Linked DNA regions of Oreochromis niloticus. The protein of the gene in region 2 interacts with the protein of the main gene of each other region in a pairwise test. Links are inferred from orthologs where the notes say so. Each region holds a gene or a part of one and is shown on either strand. Other genes may lie near its edges.

Region 1 (15,957 bases), on a different chromosome or scaffold from region 2:
CTTTGGCGTTAGCTATTATAAGTTATGTGAAAAGGGTAGATATAATAGTGAACTGTGAAGTTGGCCAAAAATCCCATTTGGTTATTACTTTAAGACAAAAAACCCAAAAACAAAACAAACAAACAAAAGTTTGAGCAACTCCAATAAATTATATCCATGAGCGGGTAAGCAGATACAACAAGCTCTAAAAAGAAACAAATAAAATAAACTAGGCTAAGTTATAGAGTACAAATATCACCACAAGTGATATCTGCAGTTAAACAGACAGAGACACAATCAGCTGCGTCTCACAATAAATGAATGAATCAAGAACGTCCACACATTTTTCCCACTCACCCACTGGCCGACTGACGAGCTCCACCCCACGATGCAGCTCTCCAGCCACGAGTGCGATCGAACCCTTGACCCTTTCAGCACCGTGCACCGCTTTATCCTCACCCCGTCCTCCACGACAACGCCGGCGCCGATGGTGACATTCGGGCCGATGGTGCAGTTCTCCCCGATCTGTGCCGTGGGATCCTTGACGGAAGAAGAAAAGGGGATGATCATTATCATGAAGTACAAGCCTTTATTTTGATGTCACATTAACAAAGTGCACTCACCACCAAGACGTTGCCGAGGAAACCGGGGCCTGTGCGTAATCTCTCAGGTGCGTGTTGTCGTACTGACTGGAGGTACATACACATCCCTGTCAGGAAGTCTTTAGGCTGGCCGATGTCCATCCAGAAACCTGCAGACAGACGGACAGAGGGTGGAAGCTGAAAGCTTGAAAACAACCAGGCGGCTCCTTGTGATCTTTAACAGGTGACTCACTGAATAATGAGGTCACAGAAGAGGCAGACATTTATCTGCTGACTGCAAACTCTACCATATATTTTACATAACTGCCAGCAGAGTTTTCAGCATTTCTTCTCATAGCTGCACAAATCATTCATCTATCTCAACCAAATATCCAGCTAAGTGTTGTGGGGGGGGCAGGATCAAGAGAGGAGAGGCGGAGTACACCGGGGCAAACAGGTACCCTCACATCTAATCCTACGGCCACCAAAATCACCAGTTATAACCTAACAAGTATGACCGCAGACTATGAATTTCAGGAGCAAACAAACACACAGAAATCAACCAGAAGGTTTGAACCCAGCGCCTATCAGTGCTAACCACTGCAACATGGTGTCACCCCCTTACCGTTAAGCTGTGGGGGGAAAAGTGGAAACCAGGACAGACATAGATACAGATTTAAACTGAAAACTGAAAATGCAGTGCAGTGGGTTAAAAAAGCCACATTTTCACTGGAAAGAATGATGGATTTTCTACAGATCTCCGTTTAAAAAAAAAAAAAGAGGGAGAAAAATCACCATCAATTCATAATTCAATAAATACCAATCCTGAAAAAGCATTAATCCAAAAACCTGAATAAAACCACACAAGAAAGAAAGCATGACCAGTATGAACAACATTAATCAGGGTTTTTATGAGCACCAGCATCATAAATAAACATCAGGGTTTCTGGTTTCTGATTAACGTAAAGATTTAAACTGAATTTATCTAATTTTATTCAAGCATAAACTAGCCAAAGATCAGTTATTAAAATGTAATGGATTTATTTAGCCTTTTACGCCCAAGACAAAACAGAATTTAGGTCACTTGTACAAATTCCTACTCCTCTAAGAAAGTTTAAAGAACAAATCAAGCCCATCTTTTTTTTATTTATCCTTTGATTCTTAAGTTAAGTAAATGCTTCGCTGCTAATCTCGAGGACCTTGTTTTACTACTTAAACATGATGAATCACATCATCTTCTAAAGGGGAACAAACCCACTACTGACTGGGACCAGTAAGCCTGCCTGGACTACAGGTCAGGATGGGGTGGGGGTTTGACTACGTGGTTCCGCTGTTTCAGCAAAGCCAAAGGATCTCAGAGAGGAATGAGGATGTAGAGAAGCACCAACAAGTGATTCCTCCTGCTGGTGAGCTCTTATGTTTTTTGTTGTTTTCTTTTTAAACATCTGTATCAGAACTTTAGAGAACCTTTAGGTCTGAGCATAAAGATTAGGTTAGTGGTGCTTTTCTGCAAACGTTTCCTCTCCAGACCTGCACGAAAAGCCCAAACACTTACGTCTGGTGGAGCTGTGAGCTGCAGAGACCAGATCAAGCACACAGGTCAGCTTCAAACCATACATTTCCATCCTACTGATCCTACTGCTGTGTTAAGAAAAAGGTGAGGTCACCACTGTATACTTTTATGAACTGACTTGCATCATTTTGATGAATACGATCTTCTCCACGGGCCCCTATTTTGGGCAAAAGCTGAATGTTCAGATCTCACATGCAGCTTTACAGTCCTGTGCTGTAGTAGAAGCTACTTTCGGCTGCTTCCCTGCCACCAGCGGTCGCCACAGTGGGCAGCTCTGCATGTCTGATTTGGCAGATTTTCTTTAAACGCAGGATGCCCTTTCTGACGCAACCCCAAAGAGGATTTGTGTCTCCGGCTGGAATCAAACCAGTCACTATATGACCACTACGCCACTGGAGGAGAAGAGTCCTGTGCTGTAGTACTGCAGTCTTAATATTAGTATTAGTTACCTTGCAGCTCCATGGCATACAGCTGTCCCTCCCCTGCCATGACAGGAAATATTTCTTTTTCAATGGATGTTGGTCTCAGCTGCAAAAAGAATGCATAAAAAAGTCATGAACATGGTCCAAAAAATAAACAAAACTATAGTGTCTTCAAGACTCAGTGTTTCCCACAGATTCCCACATAATCAGGTGCCTCTCCAGTGAGTCTCATCCTGCTGGTAGACTCCACCGTGTTGAAGACGAGCTGGTGGCTGTAGCGTAGTCTGCTCTTCAACCTCAGAGAAGCAGCACACAAACCTGTTGTAGGTTTGGCTTAGAGTGACCCAGGGTCTCGCAGGAGATATTCAGAGCAGGAGGACTGCAATCACTAGCTACAGTCTAAGATAGTGAAGTCTGAGTACATCAGAATGTAGGACGAGCTCTGATCAAGAAGCTGAATGATATCAGTGACTGCCACAATGACAGGCTGAACAGTGACCCAGATGGCATTCTTCACTCTGATCAAAACTAAAAGGCTGGAAGCACTGGTGGTAGCTCCTTTTCAGCTTTCAGTCTTCAATAATACCAGATACTAACAGTGTGGCCCACCCAGGTAAAGTCCGTCTGTGGGAAACACTGAGTCTGTTACTAAATAACACACTAACATCGACACTATGAGTGAGTGCGAGAGCCTCCTCACCTGGATCCTGCTGAGCATGCTGGGATTGAAGATGTACATGCCGGCATTAATTTTGTTGGAGACAAAGACCTGTGGTTTCTCCACAAAGCGATGGATCCTCCCGCTGTCCGCCTCATACACCACCACACCGTACTTAGAGGGCTCTTCCACCCGTGTTACCTTCATGCACGCACAGACACACACACACACACACACACACAGAGTATGACCCCACAGTAGTCAGCTTCCCCTAAACCACCTAAAACATATAAAAACCTGTCAATATGCAGCAGCTAAGCATAGGAAATACTTGGACAGTCTCTCTTACCACAATGGTTCCCTCCTTGCCGTGGTTGCGGTGGTACTGCAGCAGATCTTTGAACGGAAAATCACAGATGACGTCTGAGTTGAGAACAAAGAACGGCTCACCGTCATCGTTCAGCAAGTCTCGAGCCAACGCCAGGGGACCCGCTGTGCACAAACACACAGTTTTATATGGTTCACATTAATTTACTATGGTTTTTAAAAGATGAGTTAATCAATGTTGAATCACTGGATACTTGCAGAGAGCCATTTACTGGATCTGTCTGTCGTAAAGACAAAACTCACCTGTTCCCAGAGGCTCCTTCTCATGAGACAGAGAGATACGAATCCCGAGCTGAGAAGAAAACAAAAAACAGTCAGGTTCAACTTTAATGTTTGGGCTCAGTTAGAAACCACACCACATCACACACGAATCCAAATGAATGTCTCCGGAATTTATTTCCTAACATGTGACCAGAGATACAGAAATCCCACAAGTCCAACAACCGAGTCTTTGAGGTCCTGATCAAGCACAACAAAGATCACCTAGTGTGAAATCACGCTGATTAAAGATGTTCCCTTCAGGTTACAAGCCACAGATGAGACACGCAACTAATCACAATCTATCTAAAGATTTCTTGTTTCTGTTTTTTTCCACTTATAGTCCAGAGATTATACTGACCAATCACATATGATCAAATTTCTCCACACAGGTAAACAGTCCATAGAAAAATTAAAACTGCAGGCTTGCACTGCCTGAAAAGCAATCTCAGAATAATTAGCCATCCTTTGAGGATGACTTAGTTTCTAAATTCAGACCAATTGATTGGAAATCTTGAACCTAAAACCTGTTACCGACTTTCTGAATATCCTGGATAAACTAGAACCAGAAAAATAAGAAGCAGAGACGCCGATAGTTTCTTGAAAAGGGAACCAAACATACTCGACAGTGACTGTTGTGCACAATTATACCTCAGTAAATGAAATCCTGATTAATAAAACTGGTTATCTATCATATATCACTCCATGCAGGAGAAACCTGGTGGTGTTTGCTGTAACAGTGCAGGTTGTTGTACGTACTCTCTGCTCCTGCACTCTCATCTCTCTCTCCAGCAGCTCTGACATATAGCTCACTGCCAGAACCACATGGTCCACCCCAGCCTGAAAACACACAGAGACAGTGATTCATGACTACAACACAAAATAACCTCTCAGTAGCATCATTAGATCCTTATTGATATCTTTGCCTTACTTTCACCAGCGCCTCCACCTGGTGCAGCAGGATGGGTTTGTTGCAGAACTCCACGAGGGGTTTTGGGACGCTCAGGGTGAGCGGTCGCAGTCGGGTCCCGTACCCTCCCACCAGGATCAAAGCCTTCATGATTCTGCCGTTACCAACAGTTACCCAGGTTCATCAATAACCAGATGCTGATGCCCTGCAAAGATGAGATTCACATTCATCATTAAAATCAGACATTTTCTAAAGGAAGAACAGAAAAAAATCTGTCATGCTTGTTTCTGTGTTGGATTTAAAATTAAAAGTGACTTTCAAATACAGTCACTTTTTTACTTTGAAGACGACAATCAGAGAAAAATTTATTATAACCTCTAGGACAGATCATGATCTTATTATTTTACTATAAACTTTTTCTCCCAGTATTTGATATTTTCAAACAGCACATGTCAATATTTTGCTTGTGGCAAAGATCCCTTAGTATTTGTTCTCTGGATTTACTTGAAAAACAGGTTCTTCCCATGAAATTGATGACATTTGTGTGACTTACAGTACACGAACAAACATACTATGGAGTGAAATTTCAAAAAAAAACTTTGCAGACGGGTGCAAAACAGATGGACAGCAAAGCATTTACATTTTTCATATCAGTGAATATCAGATAAAATAGACACAAATGCCAATATACAAACAGGCAAATATTGGCAAAAAAACAATGTGATACCACTAATATAAATCTGGGGCTATACTTAATACAGAGCTTTACAAAATCCATGATCATTTTCTAACCTTGAGCAGGTAGTTTTAAAGATAATGCCTAATGTATTTTAAAGTAATAATGTATTAAAATAATACATCATTACTAAAATAAATCACGTGTAAGACTTGAACTGTGGTCAGATCAGAGACTATTTCCTGATCCATTGTGTTGTTTACTTTGGTTTGTCGTATTTTTATTGAGCCATTTTACTACACTCAATTCTATTCCGGGTGGAAAGGTGAATTGTATTAAAAGAAGAAAATGGATGATTAAATTCCACTTTGTTTTATTTATATTCTTAGTTACTAAACTTCTGTACTGTTATTTTAACGTGTTTAACTTAGGTCAGGGTTTTCCTGATTCAAAATGGACCTTTGAGAGTGACTATATATGTAAACATGTCTGGTCCACTTACAGTTAAAGCAAAGAATCTGTGTTACAGAAGTCTGTGCATTTTCCTGATATCTACTGGCCTTGAAGAAAGTAAATGTCTTTTTACAAAGTTGTACACTTGAGTAAATAATACAATAAAATCACAGTGATGGTGATTTTGTTATTGTTTTTACTGCATTTACACATTTGGATGCAGTAATTCAGGCATTTGCCACCTTTTTGGCTGCATTAATTCAGGCATTTGCCACCTTTTTGGCTGCATTAAATTCAACTTAATTATTAATTATTAGGTGATAAAGATCAAGATGCTCAGACTTCCATTGGAGTGAGTATCAGAGGGAGAGCTCAGGCAGTAGTGGTTTGGAGACAAAGTTAGCGATGCAAGAGGCGGGATAGTGAATAAACTGGACAAAGGATGTTAAATATGGAGCTTCCAGGCAGATAGAAAAGAACAAGAGCACAGAGAACATTTAAGGCTGTAGTGACGACATTTAGATGGTTGGTGTGACAGCAGATCGCTGTGGCAAACTCTAAAGGAAGCATCCGGAAGAAAAAGAAGAGGAAGAACAAGAAGAACAAGAAAAGGTCATGGTGTCGCCTCAGATCAACAGATTTCATTCATTCATTCTATCAGGCGGTCTGGAACATGTGATAGGGTGATATTTACGTTCCTGAATAGTGTCGAAAAACAAACCAAAGAACCAACCAACACAAACAGGTGACAAAACGAGGATACACATGGGAATAAACACAGATTAAAACAGGTACTACTAAAACAACCTGTTAAGAGTATTGCGTTTTATACAGATTACATCAGCACTTTACCTTAAATGAATTCACTTTTAAGGGAAACAGTGAGATAAAATGTGACTCTGATCATGTTTTGGTTTGTACTGAACTTACAGTGCCTCTAAATAGCTAACGTCAGCTGACAGAGCTGACTTTATTTATCTACAGTAAATGAACTCAAATCGACAGGTAGCTGGTTACTATTCAGGTTTTACAGTCTGCGAACAGCGTGAGAGTAAATGAAAACGATGAAAACTCACCTGGGTTTTTTTCATTAATAGTCTTCAGCAGGTCTCAATCACTGACACTCTGGGAATGACACGTAAGATCGCTAAAACGCCGAATCCTTGTTTGGCTTCCGGTGCAAGAGCCGGCCAATCAACTCTTTCGACGTCAACATACCTTATCTGGTGAAGCGTTTCAGAATAAGAGTCATTTTAAAAACGGGCTTTGTGCAGCATTTCTATCCACAGACTAATATTTGGACAAGGTTTCTTGGTCTTAAAGTTAAATGAGAATAGTGGAATAAAAATAAATAAATAAAATGAAATGAAAATCGATAAATCCTGTGCTTACAGACTTTTTGAAAAATGTATGCAACTAATGGGCTAGTTCCAGAAAAACTTGTTGAACCCAGTTTAATTTTACTGGACAAAAAAACAAGAGCAAGGAATATTTTTTTTGATTAATTAAACAAATGTAACAAGTATAACAAATATGGCAATATTGTCAAAGACTTTTTCCAACTTGAGATAATACCACGACAGGCTCTCTTACAAAATATAAAAGACAGATAATGAAAATAAAATAAACATAAGCAACTAAAGAAATAAATGAAATTAATAAAAATTAAAATGAAAATTAAAAGTCATAAAATAAAATTATAACCTTGGGGTTTTCTAAAAGCTTTAGTTCATTAACCATATGATGCAGATCCACAGTTTGTTTTTTGACCATAAACTTTACAGATGAGAGGAAGAGGCAGAGTTCTTTGTGAAAGGTGAAAAAGGACAGCTTTATTTTCAGAAATCGACATTTATGAATGAAGAATTTACCCATAACAATTATCACATACAGTGGGCACGGAAAGTATTCAGACTCCTTAATTTTTACACTCTTTGTTATATTGCAGCCATTTGCTAAAATTATTTAAGTTCATTTTTTCCTCATTAATGTACACACAGCACCCCATATTGACAGAAAAAACACAGAATTGTTGACATTTTTGCAGATTTATTAAAAAAGAAAAACTGAAATATCACATGGTCCCAAGTATTCAGACCCTTCGCTCAGTATTTAGTAGAAGCACCCTTTTGAGCTAATACAGCTGTGAGTCTTTTTGGGAAAGATGCAACAAGTTTTTCACACCTGGATTTGGGAATCCTCTGCCATTCCTCGTTGCGGATTCTCTCCAGTTCTGTCAGGTTGGATGGCAAACGTTGGTGGACAATGGTGTTTTAGGTCTCTCCAGAGATGCTCAATTGGGTTTAAGTCAGGGTTCTGGGTGGGCCATTCAACAACAGTCACGGAGTTGTTGTGAAGCCACTCCTTTGTTATTTTAGCTGTGTGCTTAGGGTCATTGTCTTGTTGGAAAGTAAACCTAACCCAGTCTGAGGCCCTGAGTACTCGGGAGAAGGTTTTCGTTCAGGATATCCCTGTACTTGGCCACATTCATCTTTCCCTTGATTGCAACCAGTCATTCTGTCCCTGCAGCTGAAAAACACCCCCACAGCATGATGCTGCCACCACCATGCTTCACTGTTGGGACTGTATTGGACAGGTGATGAGCAGTGCCTCGTTTTCTCCACACATACCACTTAGAATTAAGGCCAAAAAGTTCTATCTTGGTCTCATCAGACCAGAGAATCTTATTTCTCACCATCTTGGAGTCCTTGAGGTGTTTTTTAGCAAACTCCATGTGGGCTTTCATGTGTCTTGCACTGAGGAGAGGCTTCCGTCGGGCCACTCTGCCATACAGCAGTGATGGTTGACTTTCTACAACTTTCTCCCATCTCTCGACTGCATCTCTGGAGCTCAGCCACAGTGATATTTGGGTTCTTCTTTACCTCTCTCACCAAGGTTCTTCTCCCCCGATAGCTCAGTTTGGCCGGACAGCCAGCTCTAGGGAGTGTTCTGGTCATCCCAAACATCTTCCATTTAAGGACTATGGAGGCCACTGTGCTCTTAGGAACCTTAAGTGTAGCAGAAATTTTTTTGTAACTTTGGCCAGATCTGTGCCTTGCCATAATTCTGTCTCTGAGCTCTTCAGGCAGTTCCTTTGACCACATGATTCTCATTTGCTCTGACATGCATTGTGAGCTGTAAGGTCTTATAGACAGGTATGTGCCTTTCCTAATCAAGTCCAATCAGTATAATCACACATAGCTGGACTCAAATGAAGGTGTAGAACCATCTCAAGGATGATCAGAAGAAATGAACAGCACCTGAGTTAAATATATGAGTGTCAAAGCAAAGGGTCTGAATACTTAGGACCATGTGATATTTCAGTTTTTGTCAACAATCTGTGTTTTTCTGTCAATATGGGGTGCTGTGTGTACATTAATGAAGAAAAAAATGAACTTAAATGATTAAATGATTTGAATGATTAAATGGCTGCAATATAACTAAGAGTGAAAAATTTAAGGGGGTCTGAATACTTTCCATACCCACTGTATAAGACATTTTTAAGTTTCTTTTCTTTTCTTAGAGATCCAAATAATATCATAATTTTAGAAAATTCAAGGAAGTTTGGAATCTTTGGGAAAACCCAGTAGTGCACATCGTCCCACAGGGCTTTACAGTATATACATTCGTAAAATAAATGTTCTGTCAATTCAATATTCCCATGACAGAAAGAACAAATGTTATCATCAATAGCAAAACGATGTCTGAGAAATTCTTTGGAAGGGTAAACACCTGAGAGGATTTTGTAATGGACCTCCTTAGCTTTTGGAGGAATGGGAAGTTTTATGTACTTTGTTCTGATTTCTTTCTTTTGATCGCAGAAAAACAGTTGTGAAATGGAATTTGGATTTGATCTATATGGGAAAAAAGCATTAGTGAATAATTCACTTATTTTAGAGTTTTTTAGACTGCTAGCTGTAATGTTGTGCCCATTTACTAAAAGTCCAGGGAGGCCAGGGGATCTAGTCAGGGTTTTGAAACAGATTATGTGCTGTACAAAGAATGTTTTGAGGGATAACCTTAATAATTTTTTGAAACTCTTTGTTGCTTATTTGCAAGTTATAACTGGCCCTGAAATCTTCAAACAAAATATTACCTTTATCATTTAATAAATGCATCACTGACCAGTTGCCTTTTTTGTACCATTTTTGCACAAAGAGCGATTTGTTTCTAACTTTTATGTAAGGGCAGTTCCAAGAGCAAGGAATATGAGTTAAGTGTGTTTATCAATGTGAAGAAATATTTCTCTTTTTTTTTAAGTAAAAAAAATCTTGGTGGTAACAAAGCTATGGTTTGGTTCCAGTGTAACTTTTTTTTCCTTTTGTTGACTTTATTTCAGTCTTAGGGTTTTTTGGTTTCAGATTGTATCTTTCCATGTCAAATTGCCTTTTCATTACTAAAATCAAGTTGCTCTAAATACTTAGGGCAGGTCCTCTCTGCCTCGGAGACGTTATGGTTTTTATTCTAAAGGCCAAATGTTTCAGTTTCCGGTTTGACTGCCTGAAGTCTGTCGAACTCGAAGGTCATCTCTAACTGCCTTGATAAACTCAGGGGTGTTCAACTCTAACAGAGTCTAAGCCGCACACTTGAAAGCTTCCTAAATAATATTTTTAAAAAGTGAATGTATATTTATATAGTTTTATTGTTGCCGTAAAATAGGTCAAAACGTCACGGTTGTCAAAATATATTATGTATTTCAGAGAAAGGATAATGGTATGTCCCACACACTGATCCCGCCTCTTCTCCAAGTCTGATCAATCAGAGAAAAACAGCGTGGCGAGGATAGGTCCTTAAAACTCCGAGCCCTCGTAAGGAAACGAGATTCGGTCAGAACCAGAAGGTTATTGCAGTTTTAATACAACAAACATACCGTTTCTCCACATGAGAAAATGTGTAGCCCTCCAGGTGAAGGAAAGAATGGTGATGATGTTGTAAGAGAGGATTCTGCACTACTAAACAAGAAAGCAGGAGAAAGTCCAACTAAAGCAAAAAATAATGAAGTCGCTGATTACACTTAGTGGATTCTTATTTCCACAACAGTAAATAGTGACCGTTTATAAGTCTAATAATAAAGAGGTTGAAGGTGTTTCTGCGGCAGATAACACTGCAGCATCATGCATTGTTTAACTGTATAAAAAGTGAACCATATGAGGACAATTCTGACATGAGTAATGAAACGTGTGGTTGGTGATTTGTTTAATGGGAATGTCTGTATGTCTTGTGAGCAGGTCCAAAGGAAATATGGAATACATCAAAAGGATTTTTTTTTGCATTTTTACAGGCTCGTCAGTTCATTACTTCAAATTTTGATGCTTTGCACAATACAATGCAACTAGGACCCAATGCATTTTTTTACATTTAAATTCAGATAAAAGTACTATAAGACAGTTCTATAATACATTACAAGGCCATAACAAACATAATATTAGAAAACATATCAGGAGTTGGGAGGGAGACCTCCAGTGTCATTGTGATGATTATGCCTGGAGTGAGTGCATACCATCTGCACATTCTTTATTTCTTAATAACAGATTTAAAGAAATACAATATAAAATTTTACACAGACAGTATAGAACGCCTACTTTTCTGAATAAAATTGATCCGAGTAGGTCATCACAATGTACTAAATGTAAATCTGAGGTGGGGACCTACTTGCATTGTCTTTGGACTTGTTCAAAAATGTCAAAATTCTTGTTCTGTGTAACAAACGAATTAAAGGGTATATTTAAATGCAGAGTACAAAAAGATCCAGCTCAGTATTTATTGGCTCTGCCAACTCTGAACAAATTTCCCGATAAAAACAAATATAAACTATATGAAAATTATTGTTCTTGGCAAGAAAATGTATTCTTTTCAATTGGATCAATGAAAAACCACCAACAATAACTCAACTGGTATACTGTACACTGGTATAAAGAAATCTTCAGAGTCTAACCAATAGAAAGACTGAGTGCAAAATTGAAAGGTAATGATGATATCTTTATGGATATATGGCGCCCTCTAATGGAATACTTACCTGATGATCTGAGGGAAACTATGGGGGAGAGGGGCAGGCCCACTTTAATGGCAGGTTGGGTTTGTCAGGTCAAATGTGTAAACGGCTGGTAGACACAATTATTTACCATATTGTTTTTGTTTTTCTTTTACTTGGCTCAGACTGCTTAGTGTGTTGTTGTTTGGGGTTTTTGTTTTTTGTTTTTTTTAATGTCAAAAAATCCAGATAAAGAGATAAAGGGGAAAAAAGAAATAAGTGTAAGGACACATTAAGTATATTAAGTATATTAAGCCATTCATAGTTTATCTGATAATAAAGCTTGTGGGTTGGATCACATCACTGCAGAACATTTAAAACATGCTAGGTTAAGGCTAGCTCCTCTTCTAGCACTCTGCTAGGGTTTATGATTCATGGGATACTACCAGACTCAATGCTGTGTATTTTACTTGTACCAGTTATGAAGAATGAAGCTGCAAAAGTGAGCTGTCTGGATAATTATAGGCGGATTGCACTAGCCAGTATTTTATCTAAGGTGCTAGAAAGAATCTTGATTGACAGAGTTAGTGTGTTCATCTATTCCCTGGATAATCGGTTTGGCTTCTGACCAAAGCACATCACTGACATGTGCATATATGCACTCAAAGAAATAGTCAGGGCAAAAAAATTCATCTGTCCTTATGTATTTCATTGATGCCTCTAAAGCTTTTGATCGAGTAAACGACAGAAAACGTTTTGATAAATTGAAGCGGCGGGGAGTTCCTGGATACATTGTGAGGATTCTCTCTTACTGGCACGCTCATCAGAAGATGTAGTTTAAATGGGGAAGCAGTATTTCTGCCCCCTTTGGTGTTAGCAATAGTGTCAGACAGGGTGGGGTTTTATCTCCAATTTTATTTAATTTATATGTTGATGATTTGTCCATACAGCTGAGAGACTGTAACACTGGGTGTATATTAGGTAAAACATTGATAAATCATCTCATGTATGCAGTTGACCTGGTTGTTTTTAGTCCAAGCAGTGCTGCGTTACTGTCTGTACTGAGTGTGGTGTGCAATATGATTACACCGCGTTCCAAATTATTATGCAAATTGTGTTTAAGTGTCATAAAGATTAAATAAGTTGTTTTTCAATTAAACCCATTGATGGAATTGTGTCTCAGGACTCTTTGTATCACTGAAATCAATCTCGGAAACCTATGATCATTAGTTTGCCAGGTGAACCCAATTAAAGGAAAAACTACTAAAGAAGGATGTTCCACATTATTAAGCAGACCACCATTTTCAAGCAATATAGGAAGGAAAAATGATCTTTCTGCTGCTGAAAAGCGTGAAATAGTTGAATGCCTTGGACACATAATGAAAACCTTAGATATTTCATGAAAATTTAAGCGTGATCACCATAATGTTAAGAGATTTGTGGCTGAGTCAGAGCACACATAGGTTCGTGCAGATAAAGGCACAATGATGAAGGTTTCTGCCAGACAAATACATCAGATTAAGACAGCAGCTGCTAAAAGGCCATTACAAAGTAGCAAACACATATTTGAAGCTGCTGGTGCCTCTGGAGCACTGCGAACATCAAGGTGTAGGATCCTCCAGAGACTTGCAGTTGTGCATAAACCTTATATTTGGCCAACCCTAACCAATGCTCACAAGCAGAAATGGCTGCAGTGGGCCCAGAACTACATGAAGACTAATTTTCAAACAGTCTTGGTCACTGATGAGTGCAGTGCAACCCTGGATGGTCCAGATGGATGCAGTCATGGATGGTTGATGGACAGCCGCCATGTCGCAACAAGGCTGCATCGTCAAGAAGGAGGTGGTGGAGCCGGAATCACGGGGAGAGAGCTGGTCGGCCCCTTTAGGCTCCTTGAAGGTGTGAAAATGACCTCTGCAAAGTATGTGGAGTTTCTGACTGACCACTTTCTTCCATGGTAGAAAGAGAAGAACTGTGCCTTCTGCAACACAACCATCTTCATGCAAGACAATGCACCATCTCATGCTACAAGGAATACCTCTGCATCATTGGCTGCTATCGGCGTAAAAGGAGAGGAACTCATGGAGTGGCCCCCATTCTTCCCTGATTTCAATCCTATTGAGAACCTTTGGAGCATCCTCAAGCAAAAAATTATGAGGGTGGGAGACAGTTCACATCCAAACAGCAGCTCTGGGAGGCTGTTCTGACATCCTGCAAAGACATTCAAGTAGAAACTTTCCAAAAACTCACAAGTTCCATGGATGCAAGAATTGTAAAACTGCTATCAAATAAGTGGTCCTATGTTAATATGTAACTTGACCTGTTAAGATGTTTTTGATTGAAATAGCTTTTGATGTCAGTGAAATTGATCTACTAATGCTGCAAATTCAACAAATGACCACTTTCAATTCTCTACAACCTATAAAATCTTTTGAAACTCTGTGTGCATAATAATTTGGAACAGTGCATTTTAAGTTTTTTATTGCTGTGCCGCGATCCCAGCCAGCATCGATGAGTTGGAGGCCCCCGGGAGAATCGGTGGGGGCACGGGAGATGTCGTTGGTGAGTCAGGAACTATCGCCTGGATGTCGAAGCTCCTAGCCAAGAGAATGCGATCTGCTTCTTCTGCGAGTGAAAGGTAATCCTTCACGGCCAGCAGCAGGGAGTTGGCGGGGCCAGCTCACATCCATTCCTAGCAAGGACAGCGTGCTCTCCATGAGCTCGGGAGTGGCCCGAGAGAGAGAGGAGTTATTCGGCCCGCTCTGCGTGGGAGAGGGAGTAGCACCACAGCAGCAGCGCCTTGAGAGCGGTGTGACTGTGTGACGACTGCATGGCTCTAGTGGCAGTATAATTTTAGCACTCACAGATCCGACAGCGAGTGGTTCCCATTAATTATCCAGTCTGAGAAAGCATTAGTTTAAGTGTTTGTGTATTTATTGATTTCTTCTAAGTAATTGTGTATTTTATGTGTGTTATGGTTTTATATTTTTACAAATTTTTAATATTTTTAATGTTTTTTATTAAGGTTTATATATTGTGTTTTGTCTTGTTTTTTATGGACATAAAGTCTTTCAATAAAGACTGAAATGAATTGAAAGATCTTTTTCATTTTTACCCCTCGACTGGAAAAAGGCTGATGGGGTGTTAGCATTACCCCACTAGGCAGAACGGTGGTGATGACACCCAACTTTGTGAACACGATAACTCAAGAAAAGGGAGATGTAGGATTTTTCAAATGGATCTACTAAAAGTCTCTGACAAGTTTGAAAATCTATTACTTTGACCTCAACCTGAAGGTGAAGGTCGAGGTTATAGATTTAGACTATATAGACTTTGTCGAGTTATCGTGTTTACAATGTTATTGTTGGTTTTGACAGTCTGGGGGATGTTTTTAAAACATCCTCCAAACCATCTTTTTTTTTTTTTTTTAATCAAAAGTGAACTTTCCCCAAACATCAGGAAAACTTTCTTCACACACCGTTTAGAAAACGTTAGCTGAAGTGGGGCAGTGAACAATCCCTGAACGCTCCCTTGTTTGCTGGGATCTCACCTAGACTTAATACTGTAGTTGTATCTATTGAAAATCTCACATGAGTTGTCAGTAACTTTGACCTCACGGTCAGTCTTGTGAATGTGATGTTTGAGAAAGATTATTTTTTAACCTGCTTTTTGTATCACTCAGCAGCTTTCACAATGTGAAAGAGAAAGCAGTGAGTGGAGTCACTCTGAAGTGAAGAGCAGTCGGATGGAGAAGTCTTCCATAAAGGGGGAAATGACAACAGAAAGAAAACTGACCTGTGAAATTCAAAGCCAGCTTTGCTTCTGTTCATAAAAACACTCTAGCGTGATGTTTTGTGTAAATGAAGCTGCTGTTTAGTGCATTCTGGCTCTCCTTCAACTTTCTGTTCATGCAATTCTGGCTCTCCTTCAACTTTCTGTTCATGCAATTCTGGCTCTCCTTCAACTTTCTGTTCATGCAAATGATGCTGCGAATAGTTCCTGCCTCAGTGAAAGGAAAAACAAATTTCCAAGAAAAAATTTCTTTGGCGCTTTGTTAAAAGAAAGATAGCATATTCCTGACAACCCGAC
Region 2 (15,637 bases):
TAAATCTTGAAGGGAATGGCCGCTTCTGGGATAACAGCTCTGCCCTTTTCATAGAGCCTGTGGCCCTCAAGTCACCAGATCTCAATCCAGTTTGGTAAATTTTCGACCAATCTATAACCTCTAAGTTTTAGAGAGCTGAAGAATTAAAAATAAACGTGCATTCAAGCAGTTTTGCTGAAAAGCAGTGCCCGGTTTTTCCTTTAATTTGTCACCTGTCACGTTGCAACGTCTTCCCAACTGAGTATGTAACTGTGAGCTTTAAATGACATGAGAACTTTTAGAGCATATTTTAATGAAAAACTAATACCAGTAAGAATCAGAATACCTTACGTGCCTAACCAATCATACATTACAAAATATACCTCTGGTAAGCTGCTGTTTACATTTGTGATCATGTTTAGTTTTTTGTAAATACTTGTACATTCTCAGCTTATTTATTGCACCTTTTATTAAAAAGAGAAAAAAAAAAATCACATACGTTATTAACAGAGATGCAAGAGCAAAATGAAAATGCAAAGTTATTTTTGAGAAAAATTTATTACGAAATCTCATGTTACATTTTGCCATTATTCACTCTTTTTTTGTACAAAATCTGTGGGTAGTGCACAAACTATAACCCATGAAAAGGAAAAAAAAAACAAAAAAAAACATGACTGTGTCACTGGAGTTGCTTAGACCATGTGCTATCCATAAAAACTTTTACTGAGAAAAAACTGTGTCTCAGACTGTTTGAGTACCTGGGTTTAACAATAAATGGTGCCCTGCATTCACACAACACATGCTTTCCACATAACCCGGGTCAAAGAGCATTTGCCTAACAGGTGGGTGCAGTTTACAACACCGCAGTTAATTGCAGAAAAGTGCACTGAAACACTGCAAATGCTTTTTCACTAAGGTCTGACCTTCGAATCCCCCCGAAAATTATTTCTGTGTTGAATTTTAATGCTGCCAGTTCCAACCCACTTCAATGATTAACTATAATCAGAACCTCATCGTCCATTTTATTCAGTCTGATGGCTCTGGTGTCCAAAGGTCTAAATCATCCCGATACACTGTTCTCAACTTAGGCTGTCGCTTCAGTAAGAATAAATGGAAATCACAGTGAGAACGTGGATACGATGGGAGTTGAGCTCACCCTGAGCAGCAGTTCGACCTTTCAGTGCTGACGATGAGCGACCATGCTGTTCCCAAATCCTTCTAACATCGGTAGGATAAGCCTGGCCTGAAGAATACAAACATTCACATGTTTTTACATCGACACGGAAGAATGTTAAGGAGACTTCACATCAACGATGGCTTGTCCAAACAGAAGCAGTAACACAAAAGATCAGTAACAGAGCGATGGGGCAGCATGGTCCAGGCCTAACACTCCCAATGCTAAGAGCAGAGAGGGATGGTCGATCACTGAGACTAAAATAATCGGTCACAATCTGGTAATCATGATTAACAGAAAAAAAAAAAAGTTGTCAGATTCAGTAAAATCACAGACTCCTCCATCACATCTCCTCCCAGTCTGTGTGGTTTCTTCCCTGAGAGTTAAGTCAGACAGGCCATCACTGGCATGACTATGAAGCACCCTCAACTTAACACTCTGCTTCACATTGGAGAGTCACAACTTTTACAGCCTCATGAGTGACAGTAATAGAAAACTAATGGCTTACGATTTCAAAAAGAAGATTTCATGTACACAAATTAGCATCGGGGGGAAAAAAGAAGTCAAATGGCAGAGACGTCAGAAACAGTTGATTTAAAAGAAAAAAAAAAACAAACAGGTAGAAACTTTAGTGCCACTGTTTTAACATTTCTTGTATTCTTGTGAAGAGTTCTGGTTCTGAGCAGAGCTTGCAAAGTGGTTGTCACACATATTACTTCATCTTCAGGCCCAACCAGTCTCCACATGGTTTACGGTGGAGCAAGAGCAATGAGAAGTACGATCACCTTCCAAACACTCTTACCGAATGATTCTGCACTTGAATACCAAAAAAAAGCTGACTGCGCCAGCCTGTCATTGGATGACTGACTGAGTGGGGGGAGAGACAGAGAGGGGTCTGGCTTTTGTAGGAGAGAGAGTGGTGTCCTATTGGCCAGATATGCAGTGTGAGCGAGTAGAGTTGTGGAGAGAGAGAGCGCCGACTAGCCCGTATCTACAGCTCGTCTCTGGCCTGCTTCATCACAAAGTCGTGCAGGCTCTCCAAATCCCGCCCGCCGTGATGCTCATCACCCTGCTCCCCTGCTCTGAAGATAATCAAGGTGGGGTAACCGCGCACCTGGATAACATGAAAAAAGAATGTCACCAACACTGTCATCACTGGATAACCATGGCTTCACTCAAAGCTGAAAATGTGTGCGCACCAACCACCAAGAGTGTTAAATCTGCTTTAGGGTTTTATTTCATAGTATCTAATTAAAATATGTAGCAGTTGTATAATTTTATGTCTTTGATATAATCCACCACTTTAGTTTTATTGCAACACTGTAACACGCTTAATCCTGCAGAAAAATAAAGCTCACAGAAGGGTACGTGCGCCAGAAACAGTCTCCGAGTGCAAAGCATTCAGCGCGTGGACACAAGGGGAGAATTTCACTTACAGAGTACTTGTTGCAGAGTGTGCGCTCAACAGTGCAGTCCACTTTAGCAATCTTGACATCAGTGAAACCAGGAAATTCCTTCTTGGAAAGATCTTCCCATGTTGGAGCGAGATTCTTACAATGACCACACCTAGACAGCAGGATAACACAAGAGTGACATCACTCTCACTGACTGACAAATTGTGTTTCAAACACTGGCTGCCAACATTTTAAATCAGGAGTTTAAGCACTTTAGTCACTAGAACAATAATTACTTCAAGCATCTGCAGGTACTTAACATATATTTGTTTAAAAATGATACACTCCAACTCATCTTACTCTTAGTTTTAAGCCCTCTCTTGCAGACACAGGCTAAGCATTATTTAATACTTGAATTTCTGAGGCATCATGATTCATTTGACATTAACAACACACAATAAAGAAAGGTGTTAAAGAATAATCTCACCATGGAGCGTAGAATTTGACGAAGGTGAATCCTTTGGCTACAGTCTCCTCAAAGTTGTCCTCATTCAGGACCAAAACACTGGACTACAGACAGAAAGAGGACAGGAATACAAGTTGGAATTATATGGATCCGTGTTTTTCCTCACCATGAGGACATTATTGCATTATTATATTTATTATACTGCTACTGGAGTGAGAGTTTATGAACTATGTGCACAGATTATGTTCCCCAGTAATGCCCACATCATCTCATTAATAAAATGATATGCAAAATTCTGGCATAATTTAGCTGCCAGTCTCTCACCTAATTAGAATCTGAATGGGTGCCAGGTTTAAAGACCTACAGTGTAACTACTACATGTACATGTGTTGAGTAGTTTCACTGCAACAGGAAATAACTGCTGCTCATGTGCTGCAGATTCTCAGTAATGGTATCCAGAAGTAGCGCACTACGTGTGTACTGTAATGTAAAAATACACAATTCAAGTCCTCTAAGAATCACAATAACTTTACAGCCAGGACCCCACTGAATGCATCAACGATCACTGCAATGTGCAGCTGCTGTGTATCTAAGGTCTCTGAGCACCAGCTCAACGGGGCACACAAACGCCCCCACTTAAAAATACAAAACAGGAAATACAAAAGAGGACACCAAAATATTATCAGAGCACAACACCTCTCTGTTGTGAACACCCACCTTTGCTTCCTCTTCAGCTGGCTCTTCAGCAGGGATCTCATTTGCTTTTGGTTCGTCCTTCTGCTCCTCCTGCTTTTCCTCCTCGGTGAGTGCAGCCTTCAGCTGGTTGTCCAAAAAGTCTTTGAAGGAGTCCAGGTCTCTTTTTCCTTTGTACTGTTCTGTCTACGAAAAGAGGACAAGAAACAAGAGTTACTGTAACCAGTGGAACAATATTTTGAATATTTCTTGGATGTACGCATCAAATCTGTTACTTTTCTTCCTATGACCTCTGAACCGAATGAGTTCCCCTCAACAGAACACTGTTATTAAGAAAAGCAGGAAGTTTTTTTTAAGCCACCTATCAAAGGCATATATACTCTGAGACCATTCTGATGGACTGATTATACTCCGACTTGGAATTTTAATGCCACAAATGAAACACATTAACCGTTTTCACTGTGATAACATTGGTGGGTTTTTACTTGCCTTCAGATTTGTCTCTGTAACTATTTAAGCAGCTTAGCATGAATCATCATCATCACACCGAAATGATTTTAGCATATGTATGTTTGCATGTTCCACGTCTCCTAAACGAGTGGAATGAATGAAGCTTAAACAATGCCTACGACACCGACTCCCAACATCTGTCTCGCGTGTACAACTATTTTATACAAATTCCACAAACGTTTTGCATACCTTTTCTCCATTGTAGAAGAAGAGCAGTGTGGGATATCCCCTCACACCATTCTCAGAACACACCTCGTAGTGCTGAGTACAGTCCACCTAGTTCACAAATACACAAACTTGTGTTATTAAACAGAAATGTTGCAACACTGCAAACACTGGCTCTGTGAGCTGTTTTTATAACACAGTAAGTAAATAGTTAGCTCCTCATATGATCAACATCCTGGTCTGTCACACAGGATCCTGACAGGAATCATTTAAGAGTAAATAATGTTTGCCACAAGGAGAGCTGGGACTAATTCAAGAAGGTTAACTTTCATTGTAGTGAGTGTCTATCTGTTCTGTTGTTTTAACATCTGAACCCACCTTTCCTATCTTCACATCGTCAGAGTGCTCAAAGGTGGTGGCCAGCTGTTCCCACGTTGGGGCCATGGCTTTGCAGTGACCACACCAAGGTGCAAAGAACTTGATAAAGTGGGCGCCTGAGGCAGGAAGAAAAGAAAGAAAGGGAGAACATGAAAAGCCTTGCAGCATTTGCACACCAGCTTTTAGTGAATTTATACATTTGCACAAAACTAACAAAGCGAGACTGAAGTTTATTGGTCCAGAAAATGAACGTAAGAAAGCTGATTTCACTGCAAACTCAACACAACCTGCTGTAAATGGATATACACCTCTTACAGCTCACATGAACCAATTAAGCAACGTTTATTGCAGCCCTGTTGCCAAGATGTGAAGGTGGGGACCTATAAACATCGTTTTAAAAATACCTATGTCATATCCTGCCGATTTTCATCTCCAAACAAGAAATCATTTACTTTTTTTCCTTCAAAACCAAAACATTCAACTTCAGTGGAGCTCAAGAGCCGTAATTTCAGCGAGACAATTATCGTGAGCGGCGTTTATTTTTGCAGTTGTTGCCTCAAAGTCCAGAAACGTGAGGCGACGGGAGACGAGGGTTTTTACAGTCGGCTGGCTTTGACTGACGCTCGGGTACTCGGGTGGTGAAATGTCAGTTATGTAAATCTAGTTAATGAGGTGTTTCCATTCTCCAATGTGAGATCCAGAAACTCGGTGTGGCTGAAAACTGAAAGCAGATTCAAAAATGACGGCAACACAGAAACGGCTTATCTGTTACAGCAGGATGCAGCTGCGTAAAAACGCAAAGTCGCTTGGCTAATTACGTTGCCTAACTGAAGCTTTACACAGCATCTCTTTTAATGCATCTTTACCTTTGGCTATGTGGGTCTTGAAGTTGAGGGCGGTGAGCTCATACATTCCCTGTTTGGGCTCTGGGGCTTTAGGAGGCTCCAGTTCACTCTCTGGTTCCTGCAAAACATTCAGCAACAAAAAGCATGAGCATCAGTCTTGCACTGGTTTGAGGATGTGAGGTTATGACTGAACGAACACCAAACCACTAACCGAAGGCTCCTCTTGGAGCGTCTTCAGCATCCAGGTCTCCAGAGACTGCAGATCTCTGGGGCCCTGGTACTTCACTGCTTCCTGATCAGGCTTAAACAACTTAAGCCTGCACATAAGACAATATATTCAACTCCATGAGACGCGGCATGGCAGATTTATAATTTCAAATCTACAGCTGGATGAGAGAGTTAAAGTCAATCTTAGCTATAACTTTAACCATAAAAACAGGTATTCTGTCAATGATTATGGAGTAAACTGCTGCATTTGCAGTTACGGTATGCATGGTGCAACATCCAAGTTTCAGCCATTAAGATAATGGCAGAATATTCGACCAAATGCATGTCAATGTGTCACTCCTCTGTCAATCAGTGATGAAAAAGACTGTTTACTTCCATGATCTAAGAGGAGTTTAAGCCTAAATGCTTCAGCTGCTGCGTTATGCTCTGTTGTGTTTCTGGAAAACTGACAAATATATATATATATACACGGAGCAATCGGACATCAATAAGTGAAGCTGATGAGGTGTGAGTGTAGTACTTACGTAGGGTAGCCTCTAACGCCGTGGTCATTGGAGCAAAATTTAGTGTCCTGGACACAGTCTACTTTTACCACATACACCGGGGGGTCATCCATGCTGTTGTATTTCTCTGCCAGCTCGTTCCACGTTGGCTGTAGCCTCTGGCAATGGCCGCACCTTGACATGAGAGAGGCAAACATGGGGGATTTAATGCATTATGGAAAGCTGAGAGTTTATATTTTCATAACAGTGTATGTGAACACTGTATTCTGGATGCAGACACAGGCACACTGCTTCAGTATTTTCTGCTTCCTGTTATTTGACAATAAAACCAACACATACCCTCTCCATTAATGAAAAGGTTAAACAATCACGTGTAAAAAAAACAAAAACAAAAGAACCCCTCACATAATCTCATAATCTCTGTCTTTAGCGTCAGCTCCCTGTTTACATTATGCGGTGCATGGTGACCAAATTAAACTGCATAACAATAATGGCATTATGAATTCTTGTTATCCGCAAAGGACCTCTAGGGGGACCGTGAACCTCAGTTTTGCAACAACTCTTATAACATCAGTCAATCAGTGCGTGCCACGTAAGCGCAGCCCTGTAAGAACAACTTTGAACTGTGGCTGAATAACTCCTGCTCTGTAAATAAAAGCTGTTTAACTGTTTGAGTACAGCCTTCAACTGCAAACCTTCATATTGAATGTTGGCAGCTAGCGAAGTGTTAGCATAAACGACAGCGAGGACCACGTAAAAGAAGAAAATGCGTCTCATTTCGCTCAGCTGCACTTGGCTATTTTGGCTTTGCTAGTTAGCAGCTAAGCTAACATCACTCAATGAGCGAAAGGAATGAGCTAGTGCTAACTAGCCTGCGTGCTAACTAGCTTGCTTGCTAATTTGCCGGTTTGCTCCAATCCAGTATCAGAAACGCTTTTGTGTTTTCAGTAGTAATTAGAATATTAAACACATAGACAATGTACTTTTGGGAAAATTGCTGAAGCCCGTGTGAAAAAAAAAAAGAAAAACTTAGCGAGCGTTTACTTACCATGGAGCGTAAAACATGACAAAGTGGGGTGCAGTGGGCACCGCCTCGTTAAACATATCCACCGTGTACGTGTGCTTGGCATGCTCATCTTCTTCTGCTTCAAGGTCGCATAACACACCAGCAAGCAGTAACGACAAGTGAATAAAACGCAACAAAACGGGTGTGCGGTGCAGCGATGAAGCCATGGTGAATCTCGGCAGCTGAACGGTGTCCCTGCTGGTGTGAAAGGACCGACTTTCTGCGAGCACGCCCCTCTGGCAGCCTCTGACTCAAAGAATGCCAGACCTGGATGGGATGCTCCAAGATGGAGCTTACCACAGCTGCATATGGGCATCTAATCACGGTGTTGTGTAGATCTGTGGCGGCCCGCTAGCGCTTTGCAACTCTATCAGATGTGGCAGGTTCAAACAAGTGCCACTTTACAAAGAAGTGTGAAAGCCTGTGAGGTATTACTGACTCCAGGGGGATGATATGTATATTATAATAAAAGGTGTGCAAATATAATAATATATATAACAATAAATATAATAAGAGTTCACTATTGCCATAGAAATATATATTGAGCAGCAGTTCTCTGGGTAAAAATGCCTTGTTCATGCCAGAGATATCAGCTTTGAGCAACAGTAACTCAAATAACTGCTCAACCAAAGAATGCAGAAGAGCATTTCAAAGGAATGACATGTTGAACCTTGAAGCAGATGAGCTACAGCAGCAGAAGACCACACTGGGTGTCTCTCCTGTCAGCTAAGAACAGGAAACAGATTACAGTTCACACAGGCTCACCAAAGCTGGACAATAGAAGACTGGAAAATGCTGCCTGGTCTGATCACTCTCGATTTCTGCTGTAACATTTGGATGATGGGGTCAGAATTTGGTGTAAACAACATAGATCCTCTTACCTTGTATCAACGATTGGGGCTATTTTTGGTTTGGATCCATGGATCAAAGCATCTGAGGAATGTTTTCAGCGCTTGGATGAATCTGTACCATGAACAACTAAGGCAAAAGAGGCTCCAGTACTAGCAGGGTATACCTAATAAGAGTATCCAGAGAGTGTAGCTTCATTAAATTCCCATATTTTTTTTTTAAATTTTGGATCAACATATGCAGCACTTTATGGACTTCACTAACACTTCGACAGTAAATTTAAGATGATGAATGTGAAGTTAAATTTTTAAATGTTAAAGGAAAGTTGAAGTCATGTAGAAAAATCAAATTAGAGAGATTCAGGAGAGTTTGTTCCGCCTCTGCTGGTGTAAGGAAAAGCCAAATTGGTCTATTATAAATGGTCCAGTAAGTTCGGGTTGACTGCTCCACCTTGGCCGGCAGCAGAAGTTTCCTTCACACCTGAGGCTCTCTTTATTGAAAAGACAGGCTGCTCTATTAATGCCCAGGGGTGTAAATCTAGAAGACATCCATGAAAAAATGAAATATTGTGAAAACAGACCACATTTAAAGTTAATATTTTTGCTTTTGCTGTTAAAAAAAATGCATCTCCGGTGTCAAATCGCTGCTGGTTCAGATGGCAGACAGACTGTTGGTGTTCTGCACCGATGGTCAGATATGAGTCAGAGTTGCCTCCTCCTCATCACTGGAAATGATGTTTTAAAGTGAGAACATTTTAAGCAAACATAATTAATCCAATTTTTTACACTGGTTAAATAGCTCGTCCCGTGGGGGCTACAGCCTTGCGTAATGGCCACAGTGGATATAAATCATGCATATATTCCCACGGTGGAGGCTGCTTGCGTGTGTCTGTTCCCAGAGTAGAAAGTACCTGCTGGCTCTGTGAACTGACAGCTCTTTGGAAAGTCCTCCCATCTTTTATTATAGTCATGATTTCATGAAACCAAATGGAGACAACCTTCATATTAACAGTATTTCTCTTTAATCACCCCCACCCCACCACACCCCCAACCTTTCATCTGGACAACAGTTAAAATGGAAAAAGGAACAAAGAGGTTACAGCATGGAAACAGACAGAGATGTCGCCTGCGTGACAGAGCTCTTTCAGATGGTCTACTATGGTGAAAATGATCCTGCCATGCACAGCTGAACTTAGATATAAGTTCAGGCTGAGGTGTTTATGAAGTGCTCTGTATGAGTGTGTGTGACAGTACTTTAAAATCAGCCAGTGGCAGGAGATTTTCCTGTAATTTCCCAAGACAATGATTGAACTTCCAGCTTTTAAACACCCATAACACGCCAACACACACACACACACACACACACACACACACACACACACACACACACACACACACACACACACACAGGATTATTCTGTCCACGGGGAGTACATCCACTGAAAGGAGAAGCCACATACTTGTAGCCGACTTCGTTGCCCAGGAGGATTTGTACGCTGACCTCAAGACAGACATGAGGTGATCTTTCACCTCTGGCCGTAAAAAATATACTAGGCTATCTCTTTGAAGACGTGCAGGAGATATCTTACCTTAGAAAGAGAAAACAGATAAATTCAAAGTCAGCAGTCTGCCGACAGCTGCATCCTTTTTGAGAGGAGACCACTGCAGGTTTGCTCTTACATGACCTGAAAGCTCCGGGGCTCAAAAACACAGATAACTGCAGTTCCTCTGTTGCCCACTTGGGCTGGTTCCAAAAGCAAGTCTCTGTAGACTCCCACATTAAAATGCACAACAGCAGCAGAACTAACCTATATCTATATAACAAATGTTTCCCTGGAATAAAAACAGTTTTGATTTTTCCTGTTGCCTTCTATCACACCCTGTATATATTGGCAGTGATTGAAATGCAGCAGGAGTACTGGGAGCAGTGTTTTACCTCCCAAGGACACAACCTTGAAGGGGATAGGAAATGCATGTTGTTATCTTTTTATAGGAAAAACTTTTTGATTGCACCTTTTTAGTTGGCAGCAATATAGGCGAGATGCAGGTTCATAAAATGCATCAAGGTCGCAGTTTGTTTCCTCTTCTGGGGGCTTTACGTGCTTTTCACTTGCTATAACTCGCTGTGTAGTTAGGCTTAGGTAGCAAAAACTGCTGGGTTAGCAAAATATTGTGGGTTGGGTTTAAATCTATCCCTTCACTGTAAAAGTATCCCCTGCATTTACTTGTCATGGCAAGGGATGTCTTTCCATAGACATGAGTATCAATCTTCTCTCTGAACTTCTGGCATAAGAGCAAATAGGCAAATTACACTAAATGTCAAACTGTTTATTAAAAGAAAGACGCTCTGCAGCCTCGTGTGCTACTGATTGGGCGCACACAGCGAGCTGCCATCCTAAACTCTTTCATGTCACATCAGTGGTTTCCTGTTAGTGTCTTATGATTGCTCCGATCATATTCCTTCTGTGAGTTAGTCTGCTGTACTAACACCAAGGTGTTGGCAGAATGAGAACTCCCACCCACTAAAGTTTATTTGAGCTGTTTTATCAAAATATGGCCTTGACCCACAGCTCTCGCTTGCTCTTGCTTACGTCCCAGCTGTTGCTCACTCAGTGAAACGCAAAGGCCTCTACGGTTAATTTAAAGTAAAAAATGATATATGAGGTTATTTTCCTTGACATGTACACATGATAAATAACCTCTATGTGCAGGTTGGACTCTCCCAAAGGGGCTTCTATTGTTACCAGGGCAAGCCAGCAACCACACATCACTATTTAATCTCAACATGTCATATAGCCGTGGTAAATATGACCAAATTAGCGCCGACATATTTTACATTTATCCCGCTGTAGTGGAGGCCACATACTTGCGGGTGTCTGCTGGTTACCCATTGTTGATTGCTAGGCACCTTGCCAGGCCAGTCATAGCGTGGTGTAATGGGAAAAAGAAAGATGAATAGACTCAGGGGACCCAAGGACACTCTGTTTATTCTCTTAATTTGCCTGAAGTTGGTGGCTGAGAGTGAAAGAGTCAGCAGGTGGTGAACGGGGTGAAAAGTGACCGAAAGAAGCTGCATGTGTGAACTTAAAATTGTTTATGCTACAGTTAAGTTTTGTCCCAGCCCCAAAGTTCAACGAGTGAGAAAGAACTCAAGGCAGAGGACTTGAGACTTTTCTACACCAAAGGAAAATCAGTTTTTAAATACAGGCTGGTCAGGCACAGGCCTTAGAGAGGACACCAGATTCTTTTCCTGTCATAATCGCAGTCTTCGTCTCAGGCTTGCTTGTACATAAAAGTCAGTATGGGGAAATGATGATCAATATATCCTATAAACTGCAAACACACTACTGGTCCTGATTTCTAACCACCTTTAACCTTCAGAACTGCCTTAATTCTTTGCACAGATTCAAAATAGTGCTGAAAACATCCCAAAATGAATCTGTTGGATTGAGATTGAATGACTCCATTTGAGTAGAGTGAACTCACTGTGATGTTCAAGAAAGCAGTTTGAGATGATTTGAGCTTGACCCTTCAGTAAATGAGTACACTGTAGTCACAAAGGGATGGACATGGTCAGCGACAATACTCATGCAGGCTGTGGTGTTTAAATGAAGCTCAGTTGGTACCAAGAGGCCCAAAGTGGGCCAAGAAAAAAAAAATCCCTCACACTGTTACACCACTAGCAGCCTGAACTGCTGATACAAGGCATGATGGATCCATGCCTTCATGTGGTTTATACTACATTTTGACTCTACCGTCCAAATGTTACAGCAGAAATGGAGATTTATCAGACCAGACAACGTTTTCCATACCTGTTCTTAGCTGACAGGAGGGGCATCAAGTGTAGTCTTCTGCTGCTGTAGCCCATCTACTTTAATGTTTAATGTGTCGTGCATTCAGAGACGCTCTTCTGCATACCTTGTTGTTGGAGTTTCTTTTTCCTGCCTATTGGTATGAGGCCGTCTCGCCATTCTCCTCTGACATCAACAAGGCATTGTCATCCAGAGGACTGCTGGTCACTGGATATTTTCTCTTTTTTTCAGGGCATTCTCTGTAAACTCTAGAGGTGATTGTGCAGGAACATCCCAGCAGATCAGCAGTTTCTGAAACGCTCAGAGCACCCGTCTGGCACCAACAACCATGCCACATTCAAAGTCACTTAAATCACCTTTCTTCCTCATAATGCCCAGTGTGAACTTCACAGGTATTCTTGACCATGTTTACGTGCCTCGATGCAGTGGGGTACTGCCATGTGATTGGCCAACTTGACATTTGTGTTAACGAGCAGTTGAATCCAGTGATGTGGTCGGCGAGTGTCTACTGTCTTTCTGTTCCAAACTGGGGTCTGCTTTTCACCAGTGCCAAGGGAAACACTGAGAAACCCTTTAAGAAGACCTTCTGGAACATTTCAGAGTCTATTTCTGACCAAATCTAATTCTGTCATATAAACATATGGGAATTACCTCTCTGGACACTCACTCTTTCTGTAAAAATGCTTAAAGCATTGTCTTCCCACTACTGAACCTGATGCAATCCAAAGCCAGAAGTGTTTCCATTAGGAAGACCGAGACTCATGGCCGTATTATATCCGGGAAACAGGATGTTACCAACAGAGGGGAACCAATGTCATTTGCAGACAGCTCATGCTTAAACCCATGCCGCACGCACCTGTGCTGGAAAAGAAAACAGTTGGGAAAGGGCTTTCCCACATGATTGGAGGACTTCCAGTAAAAAATAAAAAAAAGATTAAAGTGTGGAAATCAGAAAGCACCTTGACTTTTCATCTGGGAGGCTGAAAAGGGGGCGAGGAGGACATAAGAGAAGGTCAGAGGTGAACAAAAGAAAGAGAGCAAAGACAATGGAAATAAAGAAATCGGATAAAAGGATAGAGGAGGCTGAGAGGCTGTGGTGGTTGTGGATTGCCATGACAACGCCCTCTCTATCCAAAGTGTTTTTATGTTCTGCTGCTCTCTGCTGGATCCAGGCAGATGACTAAAGGCGTGCCAGGCCTCATGAGGAGTCTACAGCCTGGAAATACTATCATGTGCCTGTGACCTTACAGGGCTAGCTGTTTTCTCTCTTTTGGAAACTCCACACAGAAGCTGTGCACAGGTTGGATACTGACTGCAAATCACTGCTGCTTTCCAAAAAAAAGAAACAATCACAGGGCAAAACTAACCAAAATCAAGAAGAGCCAAAAATGTCACTGCTAAAATGTCTTTGCTAAGACTTTGTTTTTGTTTTGTTTTGATCGACAAAAGGATTTTTCAAGCAAATCTCATTAAAATGAATCTACATAAAAATGGCCACATGAAGTTTGAATTAATATAAGTAATAGCAATAAAACAATACACAGGAGCTCATTTCACCTTAACAATAGCATGACGTGGAGCTGCACAGCTATCACAAAATGATATGATGACAGGTCTCTCTAAAAATGAGATTTTTAATCTCAATGAGATTTTTACCTGGATAAATAAAGGAGTAATATAGAATCAAACCAAAAAATTCATTCATTGAGAAAGCTCAAGAACACAGAGTGGACTACTGTAAGCATTGTCTTATGACCCGTTTTATCCAAAGCTTCAGACTGGTTCAGACCACCTGAACATCTAACTGTTAACTATGACATCATAAGTAGTCTGATTAATCATATTTATTATGGCTCAGAATAGAGACACTGCATGTCTTTGTCCTCTCTTCCTCCCCTCACAGCAGATGGCCGCCCCTCCTTGAGAGTCTAGTTCTGCTAGAGGTTTCTTCCTGTTAAAAGAGAGTTTTTCCTTCCCACTGTCACCAAAGCTCTTGCTCATAGGGGTTCATATGATTGTTGGGGTTTTCTTTGTTTTCTTTGTATTAATGTAGGGTCTTTACCTTAAAATAACTCCTTGAAGCAACTGTTGTTATGATTTGGCAATATATAAATAAAACGGAATTGAATTGAATCTTTCCTCAAGTACATCCATTGAAAATTTGTCAGGACTTGTCCTTTTGTAGTCTTCTAAATATGAATTTTATATTAGAAAAAGGATGGAAATCTAACTCTGGATACCTCATTGTAAAATCTGAATCTCTGCATGTGTGCACTGCACAGACACATGACCAGCATTCTTACTTTTTGTCAGATTTTGTCATTAAAATACTTCAAAATCACCTGCCCCGTAAACATGATCAGTCCCTACGCAGTCATAAAGGGAGGAGGTAGACAGAGTAAACCTAACAAAAACTCTGCGTTTCCAGTTCCATGTAAACGTTGTTAATTGTGCCCACAGTGATCGCAGTACAGTTGTAGTTTGGACTGTCGCTTTTTCCTAGCTTGGATTAATTTGAAAAAGTGTCTGAACTGATGAAAGAACCTACACAGCTCTGCACTTTGATGAATATTTATACCTGTCACATGAGGTGAGACATCGCAGGTGATGACGGGACCAAGCCCGACTAGGAGGCTGCCTTTTACAGACACTTCTTGGTTCACAGCCTTTCTGTAAAGGCCCCACTTCCTTCTGGTAAAGCCATCAGGATATACTGACCAGGGAGTGAGGGAGTTGAGGTGCAGCAGAGAAAAAAAGAAACAGAAGAGAGGAAGGAATATGAGAGAAGAGGAGAAAAGAGAATTGGGATTTATGGACATCCTAGACATCTTAGCGGTTCAGTTAGTCAGTCAGTGTGACCAACGATGCTTCCGGAAACCCGTTTTTGCGTGTTTTATGTCCAGTTAATCAATAATTCTCATTATCAAAATAATATTTTAGCATAAACAAAAACATACACATACATCCAAAGTGTCCTTGAGCAAGATACTGAATTACTACCAGCTCCATATGTGCTTTGTGGCTGGACCAAGTGTTTGAAGCAGAAAATGGAGCTTCCTTTGAAGGATCAGAAGAAAGCGACATATGATTTGATTCCAAGAGAAGAAAAGTGGTTGTTGTTACATGTGTGGTGTACGTAGGTATCAATGACAACTTACAAATCAAGAAGCTGCCAGGAAGGCTTAAAGTTACAGGGAAAGTAGACTGATACTTCAGCAGACAGTATTTCATATGAGACGAGCCATAAATGTCATCAATAACCAGAGAGGCTACAGTTTGCCTCAGCAAAAGCCGTATATAAAGACTGTCTGTGGTTTTATTCTCTTTGGACATGCTGCAAGACACTTTAAGAGCTCCCCTCCTTCATTGCATCAAGGTTTGTTTTTATTTTTCCCCACTTTAAAAAAAAATTACAGATGCTGTCACCCACTTACTTGTACTACTGCTTGCTCTCATGGAAAATGTAAAAGGGGCCCAGCCTTTGAGGTCAGGCTGTCATTGCCAGTGAGAGGTGGCCAAGTCACAAAACAGATGTTTACTGTTTTTCTAGAGATGATTTGTTCTCTGCTCAGTGTT

The links.
Region 1: the proteins of txndc5 (region 2) and gmppb interact in a two-hybrid assay, tested with the Homo sapiens proteins (2 studies listed by BioGRID and IntAct). The two-hybrid records come from large-scale screens. The link is inferred for Oreochromis niloticus from reciprocal best matches to the Homo sapiens genes TXNDC5 and GMPPB.

What each region holds. Positions count from the first base shown.
Region 1 is NC_031970.2:16,044,661-16,060,617, reverse strand, and holds the start of gmppb (mannose-1-phosphate guanylyltransferase catalytic subunit beta), read right to left. Parts: upstream 7,114-15,957; 5' UTR 6,974-7,113; intron 4,974-6,973; 5' UTR 4,919-4,973; coding exon 4,790-4,918; intron 4,699-4,789; coding exon 4,618-4,698; intron 3,893-4,617; coding exon 3,844-3,892; intron 3,706-3,843; coding exon 3,563-3,705; intron 3,415-3,562; coding exon 3,256-3,414; intron 2,662-3,255; coding exon 2,583-2,661; intron 731-2,582; coding exon 603-730; intron 520-602; coding exon 337-519; intron 1-336. Other genes in the region: lymphocyte antigen 75, read left to right, coding at 14,454-14,506. UniProt on the Homo sapiens protein: Catalytic subunit of the GMPPA-GMPPB mannose-1-phosphate guanylyltransferase complex. Catalyzes the formation of GDP-mannose, an essential precursor of glycan moieties of glycoproteins and glycolipids. Can catalyze the reverse reaction in vitro.
Region 2 is NC_031974.2:23,870,994-23,886,630, reverse strand, and holds txndc5 (thioredoxin domain-containing protein 5), read right to left. Parts: upstream 7,683-15,637; 5' UTR 7,569-7,682; coding exon 7,384-7,568; intron 6,510-7,383; coding exon 6,357-6,509; intron 5,922-6,356; coding exon 5,816-5,921; intron 5,723-5,815; coding exon 5,626-5,722; intron 4,876-5,625; coding exon 4,760-4,875; intron 4,493-4,759; coding exon 4,406-4,492; intron 3,893-4,405; coding exon 3,731-3,892; intron 3,118-3,730; coding exon 3,035-3,117; intron 2,720-3,034; coding exon 2,590-2,719; intron 2,268-2,589; coding exon 2,145-2,267; 3' UTR 729-2,144; downstream 1-728. UniProt on the Homo sapiens protein: Protein disulfide isomerase of the endoplasmic reticulum lumen involved in the formation of disulfide bonds in proteins. Can reduce insulin disulfide bonds.